Canis lupus familiaris: one gene and its partners. The protein of the gene in region 2 purifies or fractionates together with the protein of the main gene of each other region. This does not show direct contact. Links are inferred from orthologs where the notes say so. Each region holds a gene or a part of one and is shown on either strand. Other genes may lie near its edges. The genes, in order: EIF3B, EIF4G1, NCBP1, EIF3A, MKNK1, EIF4B and EIF3I.

What was found.
Region 1: the proteins of EIF4G1 (region 2) and EIF3B purify together in Homo sapiens (affinity purification with western blotting; 7 studies listed by BioGRID and IntAct, with this or other methods). This does not show direct contact. The link is inferred for Canis lupus familiaris from reciprocal best matches to the Homo sapiens genes EIF4G1 and EIF3B.
Region 3: the proteins of EIF4G1 (region 2) and NCBP1 purify together in Homo sapiens (affinity purification with western blotting; 3 studies listed by BioGRID and IntAct, with this or other methods). This does not show direct contact. The link is inferred for Canis lupus familiaris from reciprocal best matches to the Homo sapiens genes EIF4G1 and NCBP1.
Region 4: the proteins of EIF4G1 (region 2) and EIF3A purify together in Homo sapiens (affinity purification with western blotting; 4 studies listed by BioGRID, with this or other methods). This does not show direct contact. The link is inferred for Canis lupus familiaris from reciprocal best matches to the Homo sapiens genes EIF4G1 and EIF3A.
Region 5: the proteins of EIF4G1 (region 2) and MKNK1 purify together in Homo sapiens (affinity purification with western blotting; 3 studies listed by BioGRID and IntAct, with this or other methods). This does not show direct contact. The link is inferred for Canis lupus familiaris from reciprocal best matches to the Homo sapiens genes EIF4G1 and MKNK1.
Region 6: the proteins of EIF4G1 (region 2) and EIF4B fractionate together in Homo sapiens (co-fractionation; 4 studies listed by BioGRID, with this or other methods). This does not show direct contact. The link is inferred for Canis lupus familiaris from reciprocal best matches to the Homo sapiens genes EIF4G1 and EIF4B.
Region 7: the proteins of EIF4G1 (region 2) and EIF3I purify together in Homo sapiens (affinity purification with mass spectrometry; 5 studies listed by BioGRID and IntAct, counting the BioPlex papers as one, with this or other methods). This does not show direct contact. The link is inferred for Canis lupus familiaris from reciprocal best matches to the Homo sapiens genes EIF4G1 and EIF3I.

The regions. Positions count from the first base shown.
Region 1 is NC_049227.1:14,926,890-14,929,923, forward strand, and holds part of EIF3B (eukaryotic translation initiation factor 3 subunit B), read right to left. Parts: intron 2,582-3,034; coding exon 2,443-2,581; intron 570-2,442; coding exon 444-569; intron 343-443; coding exon 265-342; intron 1-264.
Region 2 is NC_049255.1:17,363,489-17,367,426, forward strand, and holds the start of EIF4G1 (eukaryotic translation initiation factor 4 gamma 1), read left to right. Parts: upstream 1-1,138; 5' UTR 1,139-1,284; intron 1,285-2,104; 5' UTR 2,105-2,161; intron 2,162-2,384; 5' UTR 2,385-2,418; coding exon 2,419-2,478; intron 2,479-2,716; exon of another isoform or gene 2,717-2,776; coding exon 2,777-2,863; intron 2,864-3,369; coding exon 3,370-3,390; intron 3,391-3,938.
Region 3 is NC_049232.1:55,290,732-55,294,231, forward strand, and holds part of NCBP1 (nuclear cap-binding protein subunit 1), read left to right. Parts: coding exon 1-22; intron 23-1,369; coding exon 1,370-1,480; intron 1,481-2,403; coding exon 2,404-2,468; intron 2,469-3,500. UniProt on the Homo sapiens protein: Component of the cap-binding complex (CBC), which binds cotranscriptionally to the 5'-cap of pre-mRNAs and is involved in various processes such as pre-mRNA splicing, translation regulation, nonsense-mediated mRNA decay, RNA-mediated gene silencing (RNAi) by microRNAs (miRNAs) and mRNA export.
Region 4 is NC_049249.1:29,589,181-29,592,104, reverse strand, and holds the end of EIF3A (eukaryotic translation initiation factor 3 subunit A), read left to right. Parts: intron 1-1,196; coding exon 1,197-1,426; 3' UTR 1,427-2,424; downstream 2,425-2,924. UniProt on the Homo sapiens protein: RNA-binding component of the eukaryotic translation initiation factor 3 (eIF-3) complex, which is required for several steps in the initiation of protein synthesis.
Region 5 is NC_049236.1:13,964,345-13,967,844, forward strand, and holds part of MKNK1 (MAP kinase-interacting serine/threonine-protein kinase 1), read left to right. Parts: intron 1-828; coding exon 829-930; intron 931-3,011; coding exon 3,012-3,109; intron 3,110-3,500. UniProt on the Homo sapiens protein: May play a role in the response to environmental stress and cytokines. Appears to regulate translation by phosphorylating EIF4E, thus increasing the affinity of this protein for the 7-methylguanosine-containing mRNA cap.
Region 6 is NC_049248.1:44,524,659-44,528,158, forward strand, and holds part of EIF4B (eukaryotic translation initiation factor 4B), read left to right. Parts: intron 1-818; coding exon 819-1,047; intron 1,048-2,115; coding exon 2,116-2,228; intron 2,229-3,500. UniProt on the Homo sapiens protein: Required for the binding of mRNA to ribosomes. Functions in close association with EIF4-F and EIF4-A. Binds near the 5'-terminal cap of mRNA in presence of EIF-4F and ATP.
Region 7 is NC_049223.1:68,378,405-68,381,562, forward strand, and holds part of EIF3I (eukaryotic translation initiation factor 3 subunit I), read right to left. Parts: intron 2,588-3,158; coding exon 2,438-2,587; intron 2,356-2,437; coding exon 2,228-2,355; intron 1-2,227. UniProt on the Homo sapiens protein: Component of the eukaryotic translation initiation factor 3 (eIF-3) complex, which is required for several steps in the initiation of protein synthesis.

The DNA of each region.
Region 1 (3,034 bases), on a different chromosome or scaffold from region 2:
ATGGCTGCCGTGAGGACCCCTCTATTCACAGAGGCTTTCAGGTCAGGACTGGAAGGACGTGCTCTCTTCCATCCCCTCAACTCAGGACCAATCCCTCCCGCATCTGGATGGCCAGCCACCCAGAGGTGCAGTAGGGTCCCACTAGTCTGTGTGCACGGCAGCAACACAGCAAGCACCTGCAGCAGATGAGCAACCCCCACGCAGACACTGCCATCCCCTCAGGCCTGGTGCTGGCCCTTCCCTCAGTCGTGGGAGGAGGCTAACCTTTGAGGCTTTGGATTGGCTCAGACGATCCTTCTGTTCAAAGATCTTGGAGTATTTCTTCAGATCCTTTTTAATTTGCTGAAACAAAAACAAAGATGAGCCACCCAGAATTTAAACATTCAAAGCAAGAACCACAAATGAGAAGTTCCACATTCCCTTGACCCCAAGGGACCCTAGACCTTTATCTGATCCTGGCTCAGGAGCGTGGGGGGCCGAGGTCTCCACAGGAGCTGGCAAAAGCGGTCCTTGTTGTTCTTCTGCAGGAGGCGTCCTTGGAAAGTCCACAGCCAGTAAGCGTTGTCCACCTGCAAGAGGGCAGAGGCGCAAGCACTGCTCAGTGCCCTGAGTCATGGCAAGATGCAAGGCTCCAGGCACCTGTACCCTCACAGCACCAACCAAAACAAGCATCTCCTCCCGGTAGTCTGAGGGCCAACACCTGACAGTGCTGTAGGTATCTGGAAGAGACCTAAACACAAATCTCTGCTTCCCAAGCCTGCATGCAGCAGGGGGAATGTAGTCCTTAAACCCAACAGGAAGACACCGTGCACCGTGCAAATAGCAGCAAGGACGGGCTCCCATAGCACGGGCTCTTTACTGGCCTGCAACCGGGAGCTCAAGCCAGAATATACACTAACCATGCCACGTAACACACCGTTTAGCTCAACTGGCATCTTTTCCATGGTGACACTTTCCCAAAGAAGCAGGATCTGAATTTACATGCTGGTGTGATCCTGTTGCAGACCAGCACTTTAGGAGTGTGTGGCATCTGACAAGAGCTCAACATTCTAAGAGATTTCAGCAACAGGCAGCACCCAAACACGTGCAGACATGCTCAGGAACAATCAGTGTGCTATTGCCAACATACAGATCATTCAAGATGCTGTGTTCAGTGGGGTTTGCTGAGCCTGAGCTGCTCTACATTCCTACGTCCTTACACAGAACTGCCCAAGCTTGAGCTCTCGGGTGCACAAGCTGGTTCAGGATCAGCTCAGGATCTTGATCAGCGAGAAACAGTCACTAAACGTAAAAGAGGACTGGCAGAGCAGTGGGCGAGGGAGCACCGCTGCAGACACACCAGCACATGCACACACAGAACGGGCTTTGTACACACGCTCTCGCGCTTATAGAACATGGCAATTCTTAAGTTTTTCAGATACGGACATTTGAGATTAAAGAAACATATACACACAGGTGTTCACAGCCTTTCAGGAGCCCTGAAGGTAGTGGCCCTCCTCTGGTGGCTATGTGCTGCTCAGTCACCCAGCAAAGCCAACTAACAAGGACCACATGCCAGGCAGAGCCACAGAAAAGGCCCCTGGCCACACAATGCTGTGCCCTGGCAGCAAAAACAAGAAAGGAAGGGGTAATAAGTACTGGGAAAATCCAGAGTGGGCAGGCTGAGTGGCGTCCCGTGGCAGAAGCACCATGCGCACAGGAACTACATTCCAAGCAGAAGAGATATACAGAGGCCATGTATGGTCAGGCCACACAAGCGGAGGGAGCCACAGAGAGTCTACTGAGCCGGGCACCTGATAAAGGGGGTCCAAATCGCAACCTTCATGAGGATGAAATAAAGAGTGTGGATGGCAAAGCACATCCTCCTTCTGCCTCCATCCAAGCCAGAGAGGCCAGTGAGGGAGTGAGTGCTCAATGGTGGGTGGGGGAGAAACTATACCATGAAGAGGTCCCAGGCCCCGGCACAGAGGAAAGGGGCCTGGGCACAGGCTGCCGTTGGCCTAAGACATGCTCCGACTTAGTAAAGAGATACCAAGTAATGCCAACCAAGTCATGAAGAACTGGCTGCCTCACGTGCGCTGCTGAAGGGCTTTCTAATATTTTATTTATGAGAAAGACAGAGAGAGAGAGAGAGAGGCAGAGACACAGGCAGAGGGAGAAGCAGGCTCCATGTGGGGAGCCTGACGTGGGAGTCGATCCCAGGACTCCAGGATCCAGGATCAGGATCAGGATCACTTCACCCCTGGGCTGAAGGTGGTGCTAAACCGCTGTGCCACCCAAGGAATCCCCTCAAGGGCTTTTTGAAGCAGCTGGGCAGGGCAGCAAAGAACAACTAACAGATCACCAGCAGTGCCCACCCCAAGGAGACCCAGGAGAAGGGGTGACACCAGGCCTATCACAGCCAAGTCTCACACTGCACCCAGGCTACACAGGACCCCATACCTTATGGCTCCACCAGGACACAGAGGTGACAACGTAGCGTCCAGTAGGGTCCCACTCCACGTCAGAGGCCATGTAGTGCTCTGCAATGTTCATGACTGTACAGTCCGAGGTGTCAACAAAAGCCAAGGCACCATTCATACTGGGGAGACAGAGCATGGTCAGCATGCACAAAGAACCCCATCTATGCATACACCATCATGGTATCCTGCTACTTCAAGGCTCTAGGGTGGGCTTGGGAGCCTCGGGCATTCCTTGCCTGCTAACTCATCATTAAGGAGGAAGTGATCCAGGACCCCTCTCTCTCCTAAGATTGTTGGGAATGGAGACGTGGAAAGGATACGTGGTAGAACCATGAGTGTGTGGAGTAGTTTTCATTGCAATTACCTGAGGCCAAACCTCTAAAACACAGTAAGCATCACCCATAAAGTCAGGAAAGCGAACCATTGCGTGTTCTGTTAACACACAGGCAGACACAGGATCTTCATACCCCACACGCTGCTGAGATGGCAGGAGAGCAAGGAGCACAGGAGGGTTAGCACTGCCACAACTCATGGTCACACTGCACAGAGACTGGCTCATAGCCATCTGCTTA
Region 2 (3,938 bases):
GTGAATAATTCACTCATGCCTCTCTCTCTCTCTCTGTCTCTTGTGAATAAATAAGAGGCAGAGACACAGGCAGAGGGAGAAGCAGGCTCCCTGCAAGGAACCCGATGTGGGATTCGATCCCAGGACAGGAGGATCACCGCCTGAGCCAAAGGCAGACACTCAACCACTGAGCCACTCAGGTGCTCCAATGCAATCTGTTTTTATAGAAAATTGTGAAGATTGAGATCACATAGGTCATATATATTAATTGACCACATTATCATTGGTACAGAGAAAATGTTTTCTTCTGAGATTGTATGTGTGCACATACACACATGCACACCCACAGATCGTGCACAAGAGTGTCTTTGCCACGTATGTAAGCACATAGGCACCGTTTCGAGCCCTTTTCACATAAATTAACTCTAATCTTCACAATCCAATAGTGTGGATGTTATTGTGAGAGAAAGCACCGCGGTTAAAAGCTCGGACTTGAGCCAGACTGCCTGGTTTCCAGCCTTCCCATTTTACAAGAATAGGTAATAGTAGGTAGTAAGTGACCTGGCCAGGAAGTAGGGTTTGGATTAAAACCTCGGATATCTGAGTACCTGGATTTGGCTCTAGGGCGATTCCTCCGGGTGCCAAAAGTCTTTTGGCTGCAGGGCAGGAATTTTGGGATTACTTCTTCCTTCGTTATTCTGAATTTTCCGTGACTGACTTCTGTCCCTCCCTGGGAGTGGCTGATCTCTGTAAAGCAAAAGATCGACTCTTAACTAGTTCCTTAAAATGTTTCAATCCTTTTTAGCCTCGCATTCAACTTAGTAAGTATTTCAATCGCTTTATTTTCAAAGGCTGCCCAGTGTGTACTTCTTTGCGCATTTGTATCGTGACTTATTTAGGCAGGACCGAGTAACAAATCTCGGCATTCTCAGCACGCCCTCCCTCCCCCGCCAGCACCTCGCCTGGTACTTAGCATGCACTCAATAAATGCCCGTTCAAAGAATGAATGAACTAAAAGAACCGCGGAATAGAGACGCAGAGGGGGGTCGGTCTGGAAGTTCCAAAGTTCGGGAGGGGACAAGGGGGCGGGCAGCGGCTGTCACGTGACGGGGCTGGGCGAGCGGGCCGTACTCCGCGGCGCCGGGCGCGGCTCCGCCCCCTGCGCCGGTCACGTGGGGGCGCCGGCTGCGCCTGCGGAGAAGCGGTGGCCGCCGAGCGGGATCTGTGCGGGGAGCCGGAAATGGTTGTGGACTACGTCTGTGCGGCTGCGTGGGGCTCGGCCGCGCGGACTGAAGGAGACTGAAGGTAAAGCCGCCATGTCCGGGCCCGACCCGGCCCCCCCACCCCCTCCCCCCGCATCCGCCGCCATCCGGGCCGGGACCGGCCACCCTGCGCCGCCGCCCCGGCGCCCTGGCCCCGCGGCCCAAGCCCGGGCCCCGGCCCGCCAGGGCCCGATCCCTGGCCCACGTGTGCCCGGCCTGGCCCGGCCTGGCTGCTGGGTGGGGGTGGGGGAGCGCGGGGCCGGAATGTGCGGTCCCCGCGGGCTGCTGGGGCGCCGGGTTCGCCGGCCGCGAGGTGCCACCCCGGCCTGACCCGAGGGGGCCCCGCGGGCGCAGGCACCGCGGCTCCCGGCCCACCGCCCCCTCCCCCCTTTGCGGCCCGGCCGCCGGGAAGTGACACGTTGTTCTTTGGCACTGGCCGGCGCTGCGCAGGGAGGGCGCAGGGGAGGGAGGCGGCAGCGGCGGGCAGGGAGGAGCCCCCGGCCCCGCCCGCCCTCCGGGCCGACCCTCGCTTGCTAGGAACCGGCTTCTCTTCGGCCGCCGCCCGCCTGGCCTTTTAGGGCCCGACTCCCGCCCTTCCTGGCCTCCAGTCCTGGGCGGCGGCAGGCCTCGCGACCGGCCCCGTGCGGGCGCCCCCGCGGCCACCCGCAGCAGGCGTGCCTTGTGTGCCCCCGGGCCTGGCCCCGAACCCGGTGTCCCCAGGTGGGGGGTGGGGACACCACGGCCGAAGCTGCTAGCTCCGTTTGTGATCCGGGAGCCTGGTGCCAGCGAGACCTGGAATTTCCGGTCTGGTTGGTCTTGGGCCCCGCGGAGCCAGGTTGATACCCCTCACCTCCCAACCCCAGGCCCTCGGATGCCCAGAACCTGTAGGCCGCACCGTGGACTTATTCTTAACCGAGGGGGTGAGTGAGGGGGCTGTTTGAGCAGACCAGGGGGGTGGTTGGAGGTGATGCGGGTTTGACAACGTGTTGGTGGGGACGTAAGCTGGATCTTTTCTGCTCCTTCACCCCGGTCGCACCTCCGAGACTCGGTGTGGGACCCAGCCCTTGGTTCAACCCTTCCCCCACTCCGCTTGCCTTCAGCTTGGGTCCCTTCCCCTTTCCGAGCTCCACTCTTTCCCAACAGGTGCTGGGGGGACCCTGATGTGGCACCAAATGAAATGAACAAAGCTCCACAGCCCACAGGCCCCCCACCTGCCCCATCCCCTGGACTCCCACAGGTAATTAGGGAGGAATTAGCAGAGACTGGGGTGGGGGTGGGGGAGATCAGGCAGCTGGTCAGGAACAGGTTCCAACCTCTGGATTTTCCCACCCCCATCTGTGTCAGGGCAAAGTGCAGCTTCCTGCTGCCAAATTGAGACAGGGCCCCTGGGCTGTTCCCAGGGGCTGTCATGGGGAAGAGGGGGCATGTGGACTGCTGAAGCTCTTGCCACAGGTCTGCTCCCCTTACTTTACCAGCTTAGGTTTCTGCCCCACCCGGGTTTCCCCTCTTGCTGAACTCTGGTCTCCCCCCTTCAGCCTGCGTTTCCCCCGGGGCAGACAGCACCGGTGGTGTTCAGTACGCCACAAGCGACACAAATGAACACGCCTTCTCAGCCCCGCCAGGTGAGGGGCTCTGGGGAGGGGAGTAGGGGGCCTGGGTGGGAGCCATGGAAAGGTTAGGCCAGTTCGGGCCGAGGATGGAAACTGTGGAGGCCCTGTACCTGCCCCAATTTCCTGACAGTTGCTCTGTGTTCTTTCATGCGGCTCTGCACTTTGTGCTGTTGATTACTTACGGTGGCTGGCCCCTTGGGGAGTATGTAGTCGGTGGGGGTGGCATTACTAGGGGTCCTGGTGCCTTGAGAATTGGGAGCAGCGCTTCGGGCCCTGCTGCCAACTCCTGTTCCTATTTCCTCCTTTTCCTGGGAGGTTGTGATTGCTCCGCTCCGCTCCCCTTCCCTTCTTTCTCTTTGGACTGTGGCGAGATAAACACTCCATCTGGTTCTTGCCTTTCTCTGTTCCCTAAATTCTTCCTCACTAAGTGGGGACATTCTTGTCCTACTTCCTTCATTGTTTTCTCTCTCATCACCTTGGGGATAATTCTCTTCTCTCCTGTCCCCATGTGCTCTCAGGGAGGATTCAGGTCTCTGCAGGTAATACCCCTTTGCTAATTCTGGACCCTCTCACGGTCTCACCCTTCACCTCTACCCTAGTCAAGGGCTAGACACAGGGACTGGGGGGTCTTCAGGGTGGGGACATGTTTGCTGTTAAGGTTCTCAGTCTGACACTGACTGATGCATGCTAGAGGCTAGATCTTGCAGATTGCAAATCTGGGAACTGGGAGACTGTTGCATGTTAGTGGTTAGCTCCTCTGTACCTTAGGGTGGAGCAATGCATGCTGGGGAGTATGTTGCTCAAAAGGGCTTTACTTGGGCATGATGCATCTGGGTGTTAGGAAGCCTTTGCAGAGGGGTAGCCTGGTAGAGGTGACATGAGTATTCACGGTAGTGAGGGAGTAAATATTCGTGGAGTGCAAAGCGCATACCTCAGTGTGGAGGGTATGTGTGAGTACAAGAGGCCACCTAACCATCAGTTTGGTTAAGTGGGTGAGGATTGGCCCCCGTGCTCCAAAGCCCCCAGTATTTTTCTCCAGACTAGAGACATGGCGGAGTGGCCATTTTGGATGTCCACTTCCTCCCTT
Region 3 (3,500 bases), on a different chromosome or scaffold from region 2:
CTTGAACTACCACATAGTTGAGGTATGTGTTCCACATGGAGCATGTTTCTAAGTTTCAGAATCTTTCTATGGATTTGAAAGTTAATAACTCTTGGCTTTTTTTTTTCCCCTTGCAACTTGTCAGGTACTGAAAATTAACACAGGAGCAAGAAAATTGCTGTCAATTTTGTGCTCTCTTAGCCATGTTAGTAAAAACAAAAGTGGAGGTTGAGGCCAGTAGCCAAATGGAATTTTGCAGTGCCTCTAAATTATTTATATAGCATGTCTTCATTCATGGATAGTATAAGTTACCTCCAGTCTTGTGAGTACACTGTCCACTTATCAGATAGATAATTGGCTTGAATACTTTAAAATACCATATTACATAGGCAGATAACTGTGTTTATCTGGCCTCTTATTACCAGCATACCCCTGACTAGTATATTATTATTCCCTGTATCACACGGTAGGGAGAGATAGGAGTCTTTATTTATTCCTAGAAATTAGAAGAGCCCATTGTTTTTGAAAGTAGGAAGAATCAATAATACTTTCGACCCCATATCAAGTCATGCGGAGGGGTGAACACCTTGTAGAGGTTTAAGTCTCAAAATAGCATTCACTTATTATTACAGATTCACTTACTGTTCATACATGTATTTGTGTGCTTCCCCAAAAGTACTGCATTTGTCCTATCTTATAAAACTTTAAGAGTGTATTTAGGCTATGAACTTGACTCATTGACACGTCAGTTGAAATGCAAAATATAGGTCATAATTTCGAATCTGGAAAGTGTAAAATTTTATCAGAAGGGAATACAGAGGGATGGGAGATGGGAATGAGAAGAAAGAATGCAGACCAGGTTTTAGAATTCTAGGTAGGTGGTTCATGAATTATATAGGGAGGGCAGAAACAAGTTTCTGAACAACAGCGGTGGCAAAGTAATCTTTTTCTACCAAAGAGATTGCCAGGCACTGGTTTTTAAGTAGCAGCCTGGAATGACTTGACTATCTTCTGTTCCTGTCTTCAGAATCTAATGAGGGTTTTTACTGCTTCTAGGAGTGAAACTGATGGATCAGTGAGTACCTGCCTGAATCAACTCTGATACTTCCAGAGTAGGAATTTAATTGCACTATTCTCTGGGAGTATCAAATAAGCATTAATTTCTGCATATTCTTATTTGATTGAGTTATAGAACGATGAAATTTTCATTACAGTATTCAATTGCAAATCTCCATGTCTTAAAGAGTATAGTTTCTAAAGATTATAAAGTAATTATTTTTTCATTATGAATGCCATGGAGTTAAAGAGTTTACGTTTAAAATGTTGATCTTTCTGATGGAAGTACAAAGATACTTGTTGAACAGCATTCTGACTCATGGTTCTTTTATAGGTGATTTTTGCAGAGCTGTTTCAGCTTCCAGCACCCCCGCACATTGATGTGATGTACACAACACTGCTTATCGAGCTGTGCAAACTCCAGCCTGGCTCTCTACCCCAAGTTGTATCCTTTCCTTTGTTTTTAAACTTACTCTCTTTGACCTGGCTTTAAAAGATTATTAAATGTTTCTTACTGTGGGGGCCATTTCTTCAAAAGTTAAACATAAGTATACCACACAGTCCAGCCACTCCACTCCTAGGTATTTACCTAACAGAAATGAAAACACATATCCCTACAAAGACTTGGACATTAAGTTCATAGAATCTTTATTTGTGGGACACCTGGGTGGCTCAGTCAGTTAAGCGTCTGCCTTTGGCTCAGGTCATGATCCCGGAGTCCAGCGATCAAGCCCCCCGTAAGGCTCCCTGCTCTGCTTCTCTCTCTCCCTCTTCCACTCCCCCCTGTTCCTACTCTCTGTCTCTCTCTCACTCTCTCTCAAGATCTTTTAAAAAAGAAAAAACTTTATTTGTAATACCCCAGAATGAGGCAATCCAAATATCCATCAGTACATGAATGAATATACAAATTTGCCATATCTATACAATGGAAAACTACTCAGCAATAAAAAGGAACAAATTTTTGGTGCAGGCAACAACTTGAATGAATTGCAAATTAAGTAGGATGAATAAAAGTTGTCAAACAAGAATTTATACTACATGATTCCATTTACACAAAATTATAGAAAATGCAAAGTAATCCAGTGACACCAGACCAATATTTGCTTGTTGGGGGAGGAGGAAAGAGGATTACAGAAGAGCATGGGGAAAGTTTGGAGGCGATATAAATATTCACTGTTTAGTTCAGGGTTGTATACAAGTCAGATTTATTGTATATGACTGATAACTGCAGCTGTTTTTAAAAAAATCAATTACATGAAAAGATGCTCAGCATTGTTAGTCATCATGACTTCTAAGAAATGTTATGTTCTGTCACAACTTATTTTGAGGGAGGATTCAGAGTAGTTTTCCTTATCCTCAAATTCACAGCTTGCACAGGCAACTGAAATGTTATATATGCGTTTGGACACGATGAACACTACATGTGTAGACAGGTATAGTAATTGTCTTATTTCTATACTGATTGCAAGAAGCATCTATTCCCTGTACTGTATAAAAGAATTTAATCAGCAAAATATTTGCCTTTTTAGAGAATTTCTAAGTTGATTTTTCTTTCTTGTCTCCCCAAAATAACCCTTTGTATAATAATAAAATTTATAATGTAACATCATGCTTTCTACTAACTTCCAATAGGAAATGATGGCCATACTGAGGTTTTCTTTAATTTCATTCATTATTAAATTTTTTTTTTTTGTGCTTTGGTATAATTATACTTTTTCCTTTGTAATTCGGTATGTAAGATTTTAAAATAAACTTTGTACTCACCCCTGTGCACAAGCAGAACCTAATATTGTGTATTTATTATGTATAAATATATATGTATTTTTGTTTGTTTATAGATAGTATCTTTTTCTTAAATAATTAGCTTCTACATAACTACAGCTTGAAGACTCAGTTTATACAAAAGACCATTTTGGATTTTTAGAGGTGTGGTAATTGCATGTCCACTGTCTTTTGACGGAGACCCGTCTACCACTTTTATCAGCTGGTATCTTTCTTACCTCTGTTAGTGTCCACAGTCAGATCGACCCAGGTACTGAACACTTCTCCAGTTTCCATGATCTTTCGTGTCCATTGTTCAGATTGCATATCTGAAAATTATCATTAAGCACTGTATCAGACCTGAGTCAGTGATTGAAATTATAGATCTATGAGGGACATGCTCTAAGATAGCATCTTCTGATTTTTCTCCCAATCTCATAAAACTAGGAGTTGCACAACCCAATTATGTTATTGAAATTCAGCAAATATATATTGGGCTCTCGCAGATTTTACAACATTACACAGTATGCTCAGGTGATTTCTATCTAGTTAGATCAGATGTATTTTTAGGGGAAAAGATGTATATTTTGTGGTGAAAAGGGCATAGTGTGGTGATGAGACACTACACTTTGCCTCTGCCATTTATACAATTATCTGCAGTTCCTTTAATCTTTTTTTTTTTTTTTTGCCTGTTTTATTGTCCA
Region 4 (2,924 bases), on a different chromosome or scaffold from region 2:
TTTAAAAAAAGAGATTCTCCCTCTGCCCCCTCCCCCAGCTCACTTTCTCTCTCCCTCCCTCTCTGTAAAATAATAAATTTAAAAAAAAATCAGTTTTTATAAACTTAGTAGTCACTATGTGAAGTTTTTATTTAAATTCACAGTATAGTAGTAGGCTAATTGGATGGTAAACATATATTGCTTTAAAAGTCTGTGTAGAGGATCCCTGGGTGGCGCAGCGGTTTGGCGCCTGCCTTTGGCCCAGGGCACGATCCTGGAGACCTGGGATCGAATCCCACATCGGGCTCCCGGTGCATGGAGCCTGCTTCTCCCTCTGCCTGTGTCTCTGCGCCTCTCTCTCTCTCTCTGTGACTATCATAAATAAAAATTAAAAAAAAAAAAAAGTCTGTGTAATTAGGAAATAATTTGTCGGTGTTTAAAAGTAAAGTCTTGGTAGGTAAGCACAGTGTAAAGCATTCTTTCTCTGAAATTGTGACAGTTGAAACTTTAGTAAAAAAAAATTTTTTTAATGTTGAAAATGGCCAATGCACTTAACTAAGTACTTATCTCGAACTTTTTTTTATCTCAAACTTTAAATGTTTCATTTGTACAATGGGATTATAAGGGTTTTTCATATATGATACCTGTAAAGTAAAGGTATAATGCAGTCCTTATGGCCATTTTTGCTTTTATGATTTACTCAACAAAAGCAAATTTTTTAATTAAAAAATTTTTTTTTGACATTTTATGTATTCATGAGAGACACAGAGAGAGAGAGTGACAGAGACTTAGGCAGATGGAGAAGCAGGCTCCATGCTGGGAGCCCGATGTGGGACTTTATCCCAGAACCCCGGGATCACAACCTGAACTAAAGGCAGATGCTCAACTGCTGAGCTACCCAGGTGTCCCTTTAAAATTTTTCATTCAGATTTTTGTCACTTTGTCTTAAATTATTTTAACCATTAGGATACTTCCCAGGCCAATGGTTTCAAATTTGAGTTCTCAAGTGTATTGCTATGAAGAATTTGCCAAAAATTGTATCAAAATGATTAAAATATATTTAGATTGTTTTTTTAAATGGGGATTCTCTGTGGTTACCTTTATATATAGGATTTCTGAGTAATTGGAAGCATTCCTTTTGTTGAAGTTCTGTTTAGTCTGAACCAGTACAATACAGTATAAATTTACTTTCTTTTTCTTTTAATTAAAATTTTTAGTAAGTTCTTGGAGACGTGCTGATGACAGGAAAGATGAGCGGGCCGAAGAGCGGGAAGCCCCTCGTCGTGTTCCTCCCCCTGCTCTTTCAAGAGACCGAGAAAGAGACCGAGACAGGGAAAGAGAAGGTGAAAAAGAGAAAACCTCATGGAGAGCTGAGAAAGATAGGGAATCTCTTCGTCGTACTAAAAATGAGACTGATGAAGATGGATGGACCACGGTACGACGTTAAATCTCAAGATAATGGATTCAGACTTATGTCTCATATGTTTGATCACATTCAAGGATTATTATACTTGTGCTTCAACCAGTCTAAATTGGATTCTTTAATGTTGTCTCACCATAACACAAAAAGCATGAACTTGTATTAATCCTCTATAATAGATTGATCGTGCACCGTGTCCACAGGAGGTTGGACTGCCAGGCCATTTTCTGGAATTTAAGGTGTTGCATTATTTCATCAATCATTTGTTTACAAAAAAGAAAAACTAAAAAATAAATTTAAAATGTGAACCCGTCAGGTATGGAGTAACACCTGTATCTTGGTATAGAACTGATCTTTTTCTTTTGTTTTTGAAATACTATATTAATTTGGAATGAGGTATGATTCTGTTAAAGAAAATGTATTTGAAGACTCTTCAAAGCAGGGGCTGAAACGACTTCCACACCATTAGCGGTTGAGACATACCTCTAGATATTTTGAGGTATTTACTATATTAACTACATTTAGAAAGTTTTTAGGTTCGCTATAAGTGCAGTAAACATTACAGACATTGGATACAGTGGGATTTTCTGTAGATTTTACTTGAGAGGTGAGTATAAAGCAATTTGCAGTCACTGAAATGACAAGAATACTGCTCAAGTGTGAATCCAAAACAATTAAAGCTTTTAAATTTTAAAGCATTTGGTAAAACTGTTGCTGAGTCTTTTCTGTTGCCAATAGCAAACTGCTTTTCCATTAATGGAGAATTCATGCCTTTCAAGCATTTTAAATATGACAATATTTATAAATGTGTGGTTTGGAGGAATTGTTTAAATTCTTTTTCCTAATTTCCTTTCTCTTCAGGATAGATTCTTTCAACAAGTAATTTGTAGTAATGACTGTGTTGACTTCAATTTTGGAATGTCGTAGCTATGTCAGAGATTAACTAATTTGGTCTTATTGAAGCCAACACAGAACTTGCTGCTGTGTTTTTTCTTCAGTGATAAATAAAATACTTACAGAATTTGTTTTGGTGTTGATTTGTAGTTACAGCCAAAGTGTTTTTATTACTTACTAATGATGAGTTTTTGTATATTGTGTTGAATTTGAGTTTTTTTGGTTGACATTAAATGTCTCCGTATTTAGGAGCAAAAAATAACTCAAGTAGAAAACAAATGTGGCTAGGATGTTTCCTTCCTTAATTGAGGAACCCCTTAGTTTCCTTGTAACGCTGTCCTCTCTGTGAGCTTGTATATGTGGGTGGGTGGGTGGTTTACTCTTTCAGTATTCCTCTGAAATTAGAGAATATTAGTAGCAAATTGATAGTGGCTACAGACATGTGAATTACTTCCAAGATTGAGCGGAGGTGAGAACTCCTGTTGGCACAGCTATTTAATAAGGCCAGAAGAGGGAGTACTGAAGCTTTTTTTAAAAATAATCAGATGCAGCCTTTTCTGTTTGATGTTAACAGTGATGGAAACCACTTTTTTCAACATTTAATTTTCTTAATATCTAGTATTTCAAACAA
Region 5 (3,500 bases), on a different chromosome or scaffold from region 2:
TTCCATCCCTACCCTTTCCTGCCTGGTGTGGCCAGTGTTGAAATGTCTGCCTCACAAATGCTCCCTTTAACATGGGGAGCCTCCCTTTAACCTGCTGGCCAGTGAGAGATAATAATATTTTTGCAATGAATGACCTCACCCAGCAGCCTGGTGTAGACTCATCAACTGCAGACTTTTCAGACTTCTAAACAGACCTGACCACATCCTCTCAAATTAGGAGCTGAGGAGTAGGGGAGAGTATCCTTGGGGTCCCACAGGTACTCCGGTCTGTGCTCCTAAACATAAAGTAATTTAGGCAATCCTCAGAGCCGCTCTCTGTCCTATTGTACCTCCAGGGGCAACTCCACTGAGGCCTATGGATCCCTGTGCACATCCACTCGGTGTCACTGAGCCTATGATTTCATTTGCATGGGCCCCTCCCAAGCCACACCCTTGTAGCTCCCTGGATCCTGCCTTTCTGGTGCTGGGGCAGGAGGACGTCACAAGTGGGATGCTGCTTATGGATTCATTGTTTTTATTGCAAACTGCAGTTTGACTAGTGGCAGATCTGAATCCATGTGCTAATGAGCTTGGTTAGAGCAGGCTCTGCTATCCTCTTTTAATCTAGCCTGTCTATCTGAGTTCCTTTCCACAGTTAATGATCTCCAATAATGGCTTTGCCTTTAGTTTTGCCTCCTGGGTCAAACAAATCAATAGTCCTCATAGATATTTAAAAACCATCAGTGTAAAGCTCCTGGGTCCCCCCTCCCCTCCCCTTTTTTTCCCTTCTGGGTGAACTTATGGCTTGATCAGTATAGTGATATTTCCCTTACATCTCTTTTCCCCCAGAGATGGGGAGCAGTGAACCCCTTCCCATTGCAGAGGGTGACAAGAGGAAAAAGAAGAAGCGGAAGGCCCGGGCCACTGACTCCTTACCAGGGAAGTTTGAAGGTTGGTCACACGACTTCTCAGATCTGGGCCTGTAGCTCCCCGGGCATGAGAGGAGCATCTTGGTAGCCCATAGGTCTAGATCAGAGCATGCGTCATCTGAGAGTCAGCTCGTCCTTATCTGTGTGACAGGGATGAATGATGGGATGAGAGAGCTCTTGGATGGTGCGCTCTGAATAGTTTCAGCGTTCACTGTAGGATAGAAAGACCAATCTGTCAGACTTGTGTATGGAGAGAGATTGGTTGGTGCATTTTAGCCCTTTTCTGATGCAATCTTTTCCCCCGCCATTCCTGGAGTCACTGCTGAGAGGTAGAACAGCCATGTAAGAGGATGAGAGAACACCAAGGGCCACAACTCCAAATGAAAGTTAAATCTTCTATAAACAGAGGATTTGACTCCTAGACATCACAGCTACTTGTGCTGTATGAGTTTGAGTCGATTTTAAGAGTTCATGCTGTGTTCAGGGGACATGATGTTGGATCGTCAAAGATTCTGAACACTGTGTGAGGCACAGGCTCAGTGCTGGTCCTGTCATCACTGAGTATGTGATGATGAAGTGAATCATCGAACACTTCTGCAAGGGCCTAAAAGGATCAGTAGCTCCTCCAGGAATGATATGCCCCCCTCATCCATTGTGTTTCTTTCACTGTGAGACCTGAAATACCTTCCCCTCATGGTCCCTCTTTCCAGTGTTGTAGGTACACTAGTGAATTGATTGTTTTGTAGAGCGGTTCCAATAACAAGCCCTTTATGAATCATGAATATTGGACTTCCACCCACCAGGCTATCCTGACATGCATGAAAGGCTAATCCAAAGTATCCATTGTGAGTGAAGCATGTCATTTAAAATACTTAAAAACAACAGTGTGCATGCTTATAAATAGCTGCAAGACCATACCATGATGGATCCAGGATGGTACTAAGTGTAGGGTTTGTCTGTTTGTCTTTAACTTAAACAGTAGATATATATGTATAGGGGTGTAGGGAGGGATGGACAAAAGTCTCAAGGTTTTTAGAATAGTTTCCAGATCAACAGGTCTTGCTCTTACAGTGAACATGAGACTATATCCTGTTATTCGAGGATGACTTGTACAATTATAAGCCTCTCATGCTAAGAGTGATAAAATCTAATTTCATGGTTTGAAAGTATTCTGCACACCCTGTGGGTTTAAATGCTGGGCTGCCTCAAGAGGAAAAAAGGTGAAGAATGGAATTTAGGGGAGAAGGAGGTCAGCTTGGCAAAGGCCATGATGGAGCTGTGGTTTCCTTTGGAAGGGAATCAAAGAGTCTGCGCTATTTGTGAGCTTGGGCAGGTCACCTAAATGTTCTTTTACCCCAGGCCTAATACTCTGTTAGAACTGCTCTGAATCAGCACCCTAAAAACCTCGAAGCATCCGTTTGCATCCTCCTTCTGTCTCCTGTTTCCTGTGGGTGACTTCAGAAACTTCTCAGAAACCTCCAGTGACTTCTATTAAATAAAATAAAATAGTGCTTTATTTCCCTTTGTATCACCAGGGTCTAGCACAGAACTAGAGCATAGAGCAGGTGCTTAACAAATGAGTAAAGGAATGAATGATGTCCATTGAAATCATACTCCTTCTGTGAGGATCCCATGGTTTCCCTACACAGATCTAACCTTTCCTTCCCCCTATTTTTTTTCCTGTGTCTTGTCCTTTTATGGTAGTGCTCACTACTGCCCGGTTTATTCTGGGGTCACTTGTCTACATGTCTGTCTTCCCCACTGGACTGTGACCCTCAAAAGGCAGGGACTATATTTTATTCCTCACTCTGTCCCTATTAATAAATTTAATACATTGTTTGGTACATAACAGGTGCTCAGGAAGCTTGGGCAGAACTGAAATTCACTGACCTCATCTCTAAAATGAGGAACAGGATGCTTTCAATGTGGTCTAGCTGTTGAGAAACTGAGTCCTGTGATGACTGGAAGAGTTGATGGTCTTCCTTGTCATTGTGTGCCCGTGCTATCACACCAGGGAAGCTGAGTGACAGCAGCTCTTCTGTCCATCTGAGCTTGCAAAGGCATGACTTATCTTGTTTTTCCTCTCACCCATTTCACCTCTAGACACGTACAAGCTGACCTCTGAACTGCTTGGAGAGGGAGCCTATGCCAAAGTTCAAGGTGCTGTGAGCCTACAGAATGGCAAAGAGTATGCTGTCAAAGTGAGTGTCTCATCTGGGTGCCAGACTTTAGCTGGTCCGAAGCCAGATAAATTTTATATTCTGCAGTATGGCAGCTCAGTAATAATGGGGACTCCAAAGATGTTCTCACTGGATTCAACTCTTGGTTTCTGTACTTACTTGCTGTGTTAATTAACACTTTTTTTTTTTTAAGATTTTTATTTATTTTTGAGAGAGAGAAAGAGAGAGAGCACAAGCAGAGAGGGAAGGAGGGGGTGAGGGAGAAGCAGGCTCCCCTGCTGAGCAGGGAGCCCTGACTCAGAGCTCCATCCTGGGATCATGACCTGAGCCGAAGGCAAAAGTTCAAGCGACTGAGCCACCCACCCAGGCTCCCCATTACTTAACACTTCTATCCTTCAGTTTCCTTCTCTGT
Region 6 (3,500 bases), on a different chromosome or scaffold from region 2:
TAAGCCAGTGGTTGGTATACGTAAGCTTTATCTTTTGTATGTTTGAAATTATTTAGGATAAACACTAATTTTGAGAAATACAATTCCCTTGAAACACTAAGGTTTGTCTTAAAATATTCTGACAGTTTGGATCCAAGGAGAAATCAAATTCCTTTAGAGTTTATATTTAGCCATTTGGTACTGTATGCTTTGCTCCATGAATCATTATGAGATTTAGATTCCACACAGAGCCAAGAGTATAGGAAGTAGAGTCTTTCCCGTTGTATTGTCACAAGCTCTTCTCAGCCTCCTGAAGTAGTTCATCTTCCAGACCACGTTTTTTACCAAGATACTTGCATCCAGTAGTTTATCATAGTTGACCATTTCTTCCTAGTAATAGTAGCTGTGATGACTCACCATGTAAGTCCTCAGTGTGTAGCACAGCCTCATGGGTGGCGTAGTGGGAAGATTGATTGTCCTTGGTTGTTTAAACCACCCATTTATTTTCTAATGCTCTCCCTTCTCTACTGGATTGGCTAGGCTGCTACTCTCCCGTGTGGCATTTTCTTTTCTTTTAAGATTTTTATTTACTTGCTTATTCGTGAGAGACACAGGGAGAGGGGGAGAGACATAGGTAGAGAGAAGCAGACTCCTCGCGGGCATCCTGATGTAGGACTTGACCCCAGGACCATGGGATCACAACCTGTGCCAAAGATAGATGCTCAACCACATGTCCCCCCATGTGGCATTTTCTAAGAGCTGTGTCTGGGCATCTGACTTTTGGCCATCAGCTTCTGAGGATTTTGAAAAACTGTTACTTAGAGTTTTATTTAACTTAGGTCCCCCCCAAAGACCCAAACTGAATCTAAAGCCTCGGAGTACTCCTAAGGAAGATGATTCCTCCGCTAGCACCTCCCAGTCCAGTCGAGCGGCCTCTATCTTTGGAGGGGCAAAGCCTGTTGACACAGCTGCTAGAGAGCGAGAAGTAGAAGAGCGGCTGCAGAAGGAGCAGGAGAAGCTGCAGCGCCAGCTGGATGAGCCAAAACTAGAGCGACGGCCTCGAGAGAGGTGAGGCTCTCTTCAGTTACGGATCTCTGATCTGGGAACGAATTGCTTCCTGAAGGACGGGTGTGGTACACATCCCAGGGCACATCTGGGAAATTCATGCAGGCGTTATTAGTTGTCACTTAATAGCATCTAGTGTACACAGGCTGGGGCCAGTAGGTGCGCTGCAGTATATGGGACAGTTGAACCCTATGAAGAGTTAGTTGCCTGCCGGCCCTCGTGGCTTTTAAAGGGGCTTAACTGGGCTTAACTTCTGACAACTATAAATTGATGATCGATTAATAGAGGAGTAGGCAAATTACGGCCTATTCCTCCCCCCGCCCCAAATCCATTTATTTGAGAAAGAGCACAGAGAGAAGCGGACTGCTGAGCGGGGAGCCCGATGCGGGGCTCCATCCCAGGACCCTGGGATCACGACCTGAGCCGAAGACAGACATTTAACCAACTGAGCCACCCAGGTGCCCCAGTGCTGTTCCATATTTTGTAAATAAAATTTATCTGACCCATTAAAAAATTGACCAAATCTTGCTTTAGTATATGGGGTAAAGCCACCATTATGAGATGAGTGGAAGTGCCTCTATTCGAGTTGCTGGAATAAAGAGAAAATGTTTTTACTTCTATAAAACATAAACTATATATAAATTATTTTACATTTATTTTTACTCGTGTGTTATGTCAGGTATATTATTTAAGGATATTTCAGGATGGTAAAGGAGTCGGTAGTGAAGTGTTTGTTATTAAAAAGTGGCATTGGATCTAATGGGGTAGAAACCTGTAAAATGGCCTAGTTTTAAATGGCTTTTAGAGTTGTGTTACCAGTAAGGGAGGGCTGTAGGTTAGGTAGGAGAATATTCTTCATTCTAGTTGAAGCTTCAAGTGTTTAGAGCCAAAGTGTATTTATCTTTGTAGCTTTCAAATGGTTTGAGAGAAACAAGATGTGCACACCCACCCACAAATACAGCAAGCCTGATGAGTATGAAGTGATGGTTCTTGAGGGGTCAGCATGGGTCCAAAGTGGCCTTCAGTGAGCTGGACATAAGTTGTTTTCTTTTTTTTAATCTCTTTGTACAGACACCCAAGCTGGCGAAGTGAAGAGACTCAGGAACGGGAACGGTCCAGGACAGGAAGTGAGTCATCACAGACTGGGACCTCGGCCACAACTGGCAGAAGTAAGTCAGACCAGGGTGGGTATCACGTGTTATTGCCTCTTTCCATAAATGAGCCATAACCAAATTATGCAGTCACTGTGGGGTATTAAACTCAGTCATGGGGGCTTTATTTCGGTTAGCATAGGTTGAGCAGAATATTACATCTAGTCTGAAAAATCTAAGAAAATGGCATCAGAAGAGACTTGGGCGACCTGTTTAATGATCTTCTACTAAAGAGTATACTTGACTGTTAGATTTGTCCCTTCTTTTTGTTTTGACATTCCAGAATTTTCCTTTATTTAGAGCAGTCACAGTCCTACAGCTCTCTTGCCAGCCTTTTTGGATGTCCTGTACGACCAGAGCAATGTCTGGAGCGATGATCTTCTACTCTTGATCTTTCTTTCCTTCCTTCCTTCCTTGAATTTATCGATTGGTCACAAACATCTTTAGTGTTTTGGAAACTGAACTATTAAATCATAACATCTCTCTTCCCTTATTGCGAACCAGTGTTTTGTTTTTTAAGTTTCTTCCTCCCACCTCTAAGTTGATTTGTACTTGAGCATTTCAAAGCGTGGCTCCAGACTGAGATGATTTGGAAGTTCATCCAAGTGTTGTAGAAGTTTTCTGGAAATTATTCATACTGGAGTAGCTACCCTTTTAGTAACAGGAAGGTAATGTCTGTTTGTGACTAGGTGGAAGTGTGATGGTTGGATTGATACCTCCTGAGGAGGCTGCACTTAAAACGTAGAAAGAATCTGACAAAATAAACATTTAGTTGGTTTTCTGGTTTTGTTTTGTTTTTTTGCTTTTTTAAGATTTTATTTATTCATGAGACAAAGGCAGAGACAGGCAGAGGGAGAAGCAGGCTCCATGCAGGGATCCCGATGTGGGACTCGATCCCGGGACTCCAGGATCACACCCTGAGCCAGAGGCAAACGCTCAACCACTGAGCCACCCAGGCATCCCAAAACTTCTAGTTTTGAGAAGACATTTACTGCCCTTTAAAAAAAAAAAAAGATGGCCTGTTTTTCCTATATATCATATTGTGTGTGTGTGTGTGTGTGTGTGTGTGTGTGTGTGTGTGTGTGTGTGTTGAGCCTCCAACTTGGAGTTAACTCAGTGGATCCTGGGGTTTGAGATTTATCAGAGGTCCTCTTCACACACATATACATATTCTCTGGTGTAGACATTTTTTTTTTTTAATTTTTATTTATTTATGATAGTCACACACAGAGAGAGAGAGAGATAGAGAGAGAGAGGCAGAGACATAGGCAGAGGGAGAAGCAGGCTCCATGCACCGGGAGCCCG
Region 7 (3,158 bases), on a different chromosome or scaffold from region 2:
GCTGCATGTCTAGCTTTTTTTTAGATCTTTCAAAGGGTCATTTCATCTCCTTACTTCCCTTCCCATTCAGCAACCTGCTAGCCTGTAGAGTACAAAGGGCAGAGCTTTAGAGTCTGCCCTCAGAAGCACCTCTCTCTGCCTCAATTTCTCTATCTAGAAAACAAGATTACTAAAAGTACACCACCCAGGTCACCAGAGGGATACTGAGACTGTCTTATTTGACTTTGTTGTGACAGGAACCTGGCCTATGTTCTGCAGACATTGGTCAGATGATTTAAAGGCCTTGTGAGCACTGTGCCTCATACAGAGTGGGCCCTCAGAGAACTTTCCTTTCCTGAATTACTTTTATTGTTGTTTTTAAGTAAGCTCTCTGCCCATTGTGGGGCTTGAACTTACAACCCCTGAAATCAAGAGTCGCATGCTCTATTGAATAAGCCAGCCAAGTGTCCCTTTCCTGAAAAAAAAATTTTTTTTTAAAAAGATTTTATTTATTCAGGAGACACACAGAGAGAGGCAGAGAGAGAGGTAGTGACAGGAGAAGCAGGCTCCATGCAAGGAACCTGATGTGGGACTCGGTCCTGGGACTCTGGGATCACGCCCCGAGCCAAAAGCAGACGCTCAACCACTGAGCCACCCAGGAGTCCCCCCTGAATTATTTTTATCTATTTTGTGAGAAGGATGTATTTTTGCTTTCCTCCATCAGTGAGGACACATGGTAGAGTCAGATCCAGCTCCTGTATTTTGGGGAACAAGCAGGAGTCTTGCAGTCAGGCCTATCTAACAACACAGAACAGCTTCACTATTTGCTGGCAACAAGCTTTATGTATGCCTTTGACCTTGGTTTCCATTACCTGCCTGTGGGTAGGTCTGGGGTCTGGTGGACTATAGTCAGCGTTTGCTGAACGACTAAACTTTATCATAGTACATGCCAGCATTGTCCAGGAACCCAGGTACCCAAGAGAAATCCAGGGCAGCCCAGGCTTACTCTCCATCTCATCAAGTCACTCCTAAATATCTCTTGACTCTGTCAGGTGCTCCACATCCCGAGAGCTATGGCCTCATTCAGGTCCATTCTCTGAACTGAGCCTGCAAAAGCCTTATAAAGAGAAAATCTGATCACCAATAACCATTTAAAGATTCCCCACTGGGACACCTGGATGGCTCAGGCAGTTAAGCATCTGCCTTTGGCTCAGATCATGATTTCAGGGTCCTGGGTTCAAGCCCCATGTTGGGCTCCCTGTTCAGTGGGGAGTCTGCTTCCCCCTCCCTCTGCTCCTCCCCACCCTGCTTGTATTCTCTGCCTCTCAAATAGACAAACAAATAAATAATAACCTTAAAAAAAAGAGAGAGAGAGATTCCCTACTGCATACAGAAAAATCAGTTCCTTACCTCCTGACACTCAAAAAAAAAAAAAAAAAAAAATCTAGTTGCTATCCACTTTCTCCAATGCCATGTCCCAAAAACCCCAGACCCTTCCCTGAACAATCCCCCTATTCCCTTAATTCTGCTTTTGTGTGTACTGTTTTTCCCATCTGTGGAATGGCCTTCCCTTCTTGCTTAAAGCTCCATTTATTCTTCACGGGTTAACGTATGTGCCACTTTCTCTATGACAGAGGGCACTTAATGTAATTGGCTGAGACCTCTATGTTGGCACAACTTCCAACCTGACTCATGCTAGCTGTTTGCCAGTCTGTCTCCCTGGGGGCAGGGCCCATGTCTGATTCAGGTCTTTTTCTTTAGAGCCCAACACAAGGCCTGGCACTCAGTGGTGGCAGGAAAATGCTTATTTATGATCACTATTAACATATCCAGAGTAGGGGCACCTAGGTGGCCCAGTGTCTGAGCCTCTGCTTTTGCCTCAGGTTGTGATCCCAGGGCCCTGGGTTCAAGTCCCACACTGGGCTCCCTGCAGGCAGCCTGTTTCTCCCTCTGCTTATATCTCTGCTGATCTGTGTCTTTCATGAATAAATAAATAAAATCTTAAAACAAAAAACAACCCATATATCCAGAGTATCCTGTGACAAGTTTTTAAAATGCCTTATGTCATTTGATCCTCGGAACATTTTGCATATATAAACAGGCTCAGTGAAGTAATTTGGCCAAGTTCACATAACCAAAAAGTGGTAAAATCTGTATTTGAACCCAATCTTTGCTCTTCACTACTGTGCTATCCTGACTCTTGAAGGGAATCATTCTGGTGGGCTTGGGGCTCCACCCACCTCCTCACCTTGGCGCTATACTGGTTGAGCTCCCCGCCTTCATGACCCGCGATGATGCACTCCCCCAGGGGTCCCCAAACAGCACTAGTGATCTTGGAGTCGTTGCAAGGGATCTTCATGTAGGGCTCATTGTTGTCTGTGTGGGGTAGAAGATGTCAGGCCTTGGGCTCTGGAGCCACACCCTTCACCCCAGTCCTAATGCCCTAGTGCTGGCTCACCGATTTGGCTTGGATCCCGCAGGTCAAAGAAGCTCACAAAGCACTGGTAGCCCATCTGTTTGTCCGTGGAGAACATGATGATGTTGCCCCCAAAATCAAAGCCACACGTCCGGACAGCTGAATTGGTCTTGAGTAGGGCCAGCTGCTTCCCTGGAGACAAGCAGAGTTTGGGCTACCCCTTGCCTAATGCCATCAAGGGGAGGACACTCTCCATACGCCTATCCTCCTGTCTACTATTTCTCCTGCTCTAGTGACCAAAACCCACCCCTACTTCCTCCTCACTGCTAGGCTTTGGCTCAAGATTTTTAACTTGCTCCCCACCATCTCTCCCCAGACATCCTGTTCCTATGGCACTGCTCATAGTGAATTGCAATACATATGTCTTCTCAGAATGCATTCCTCTAGAACAAGGATCTGCTCTAATTTCTCTGCATGTCCCCAGAACCCAGCAGAGAGGGAACCCTGTCGGGACCCCTCTCACTTCTGAGAGCTTCCTCTGTATCTCCGTATCTCTGCTTAATAAACTTCTATCACTTTGCTAAAAAAAAAAAAAAAAAAAAAAAAAAAAAAAAAAGGAACCCAGCAGAGACCTGGCATAGAATTGGGTGCCCAGTAAATATTTACTAAACGGAGCAGCTTAATAGGCTCCCATGTATTTGGTCTGTTCTTCCAATACTCCCCACTGCTACCTGAGTTTGCTAAAATGAAACATACTCTCCGC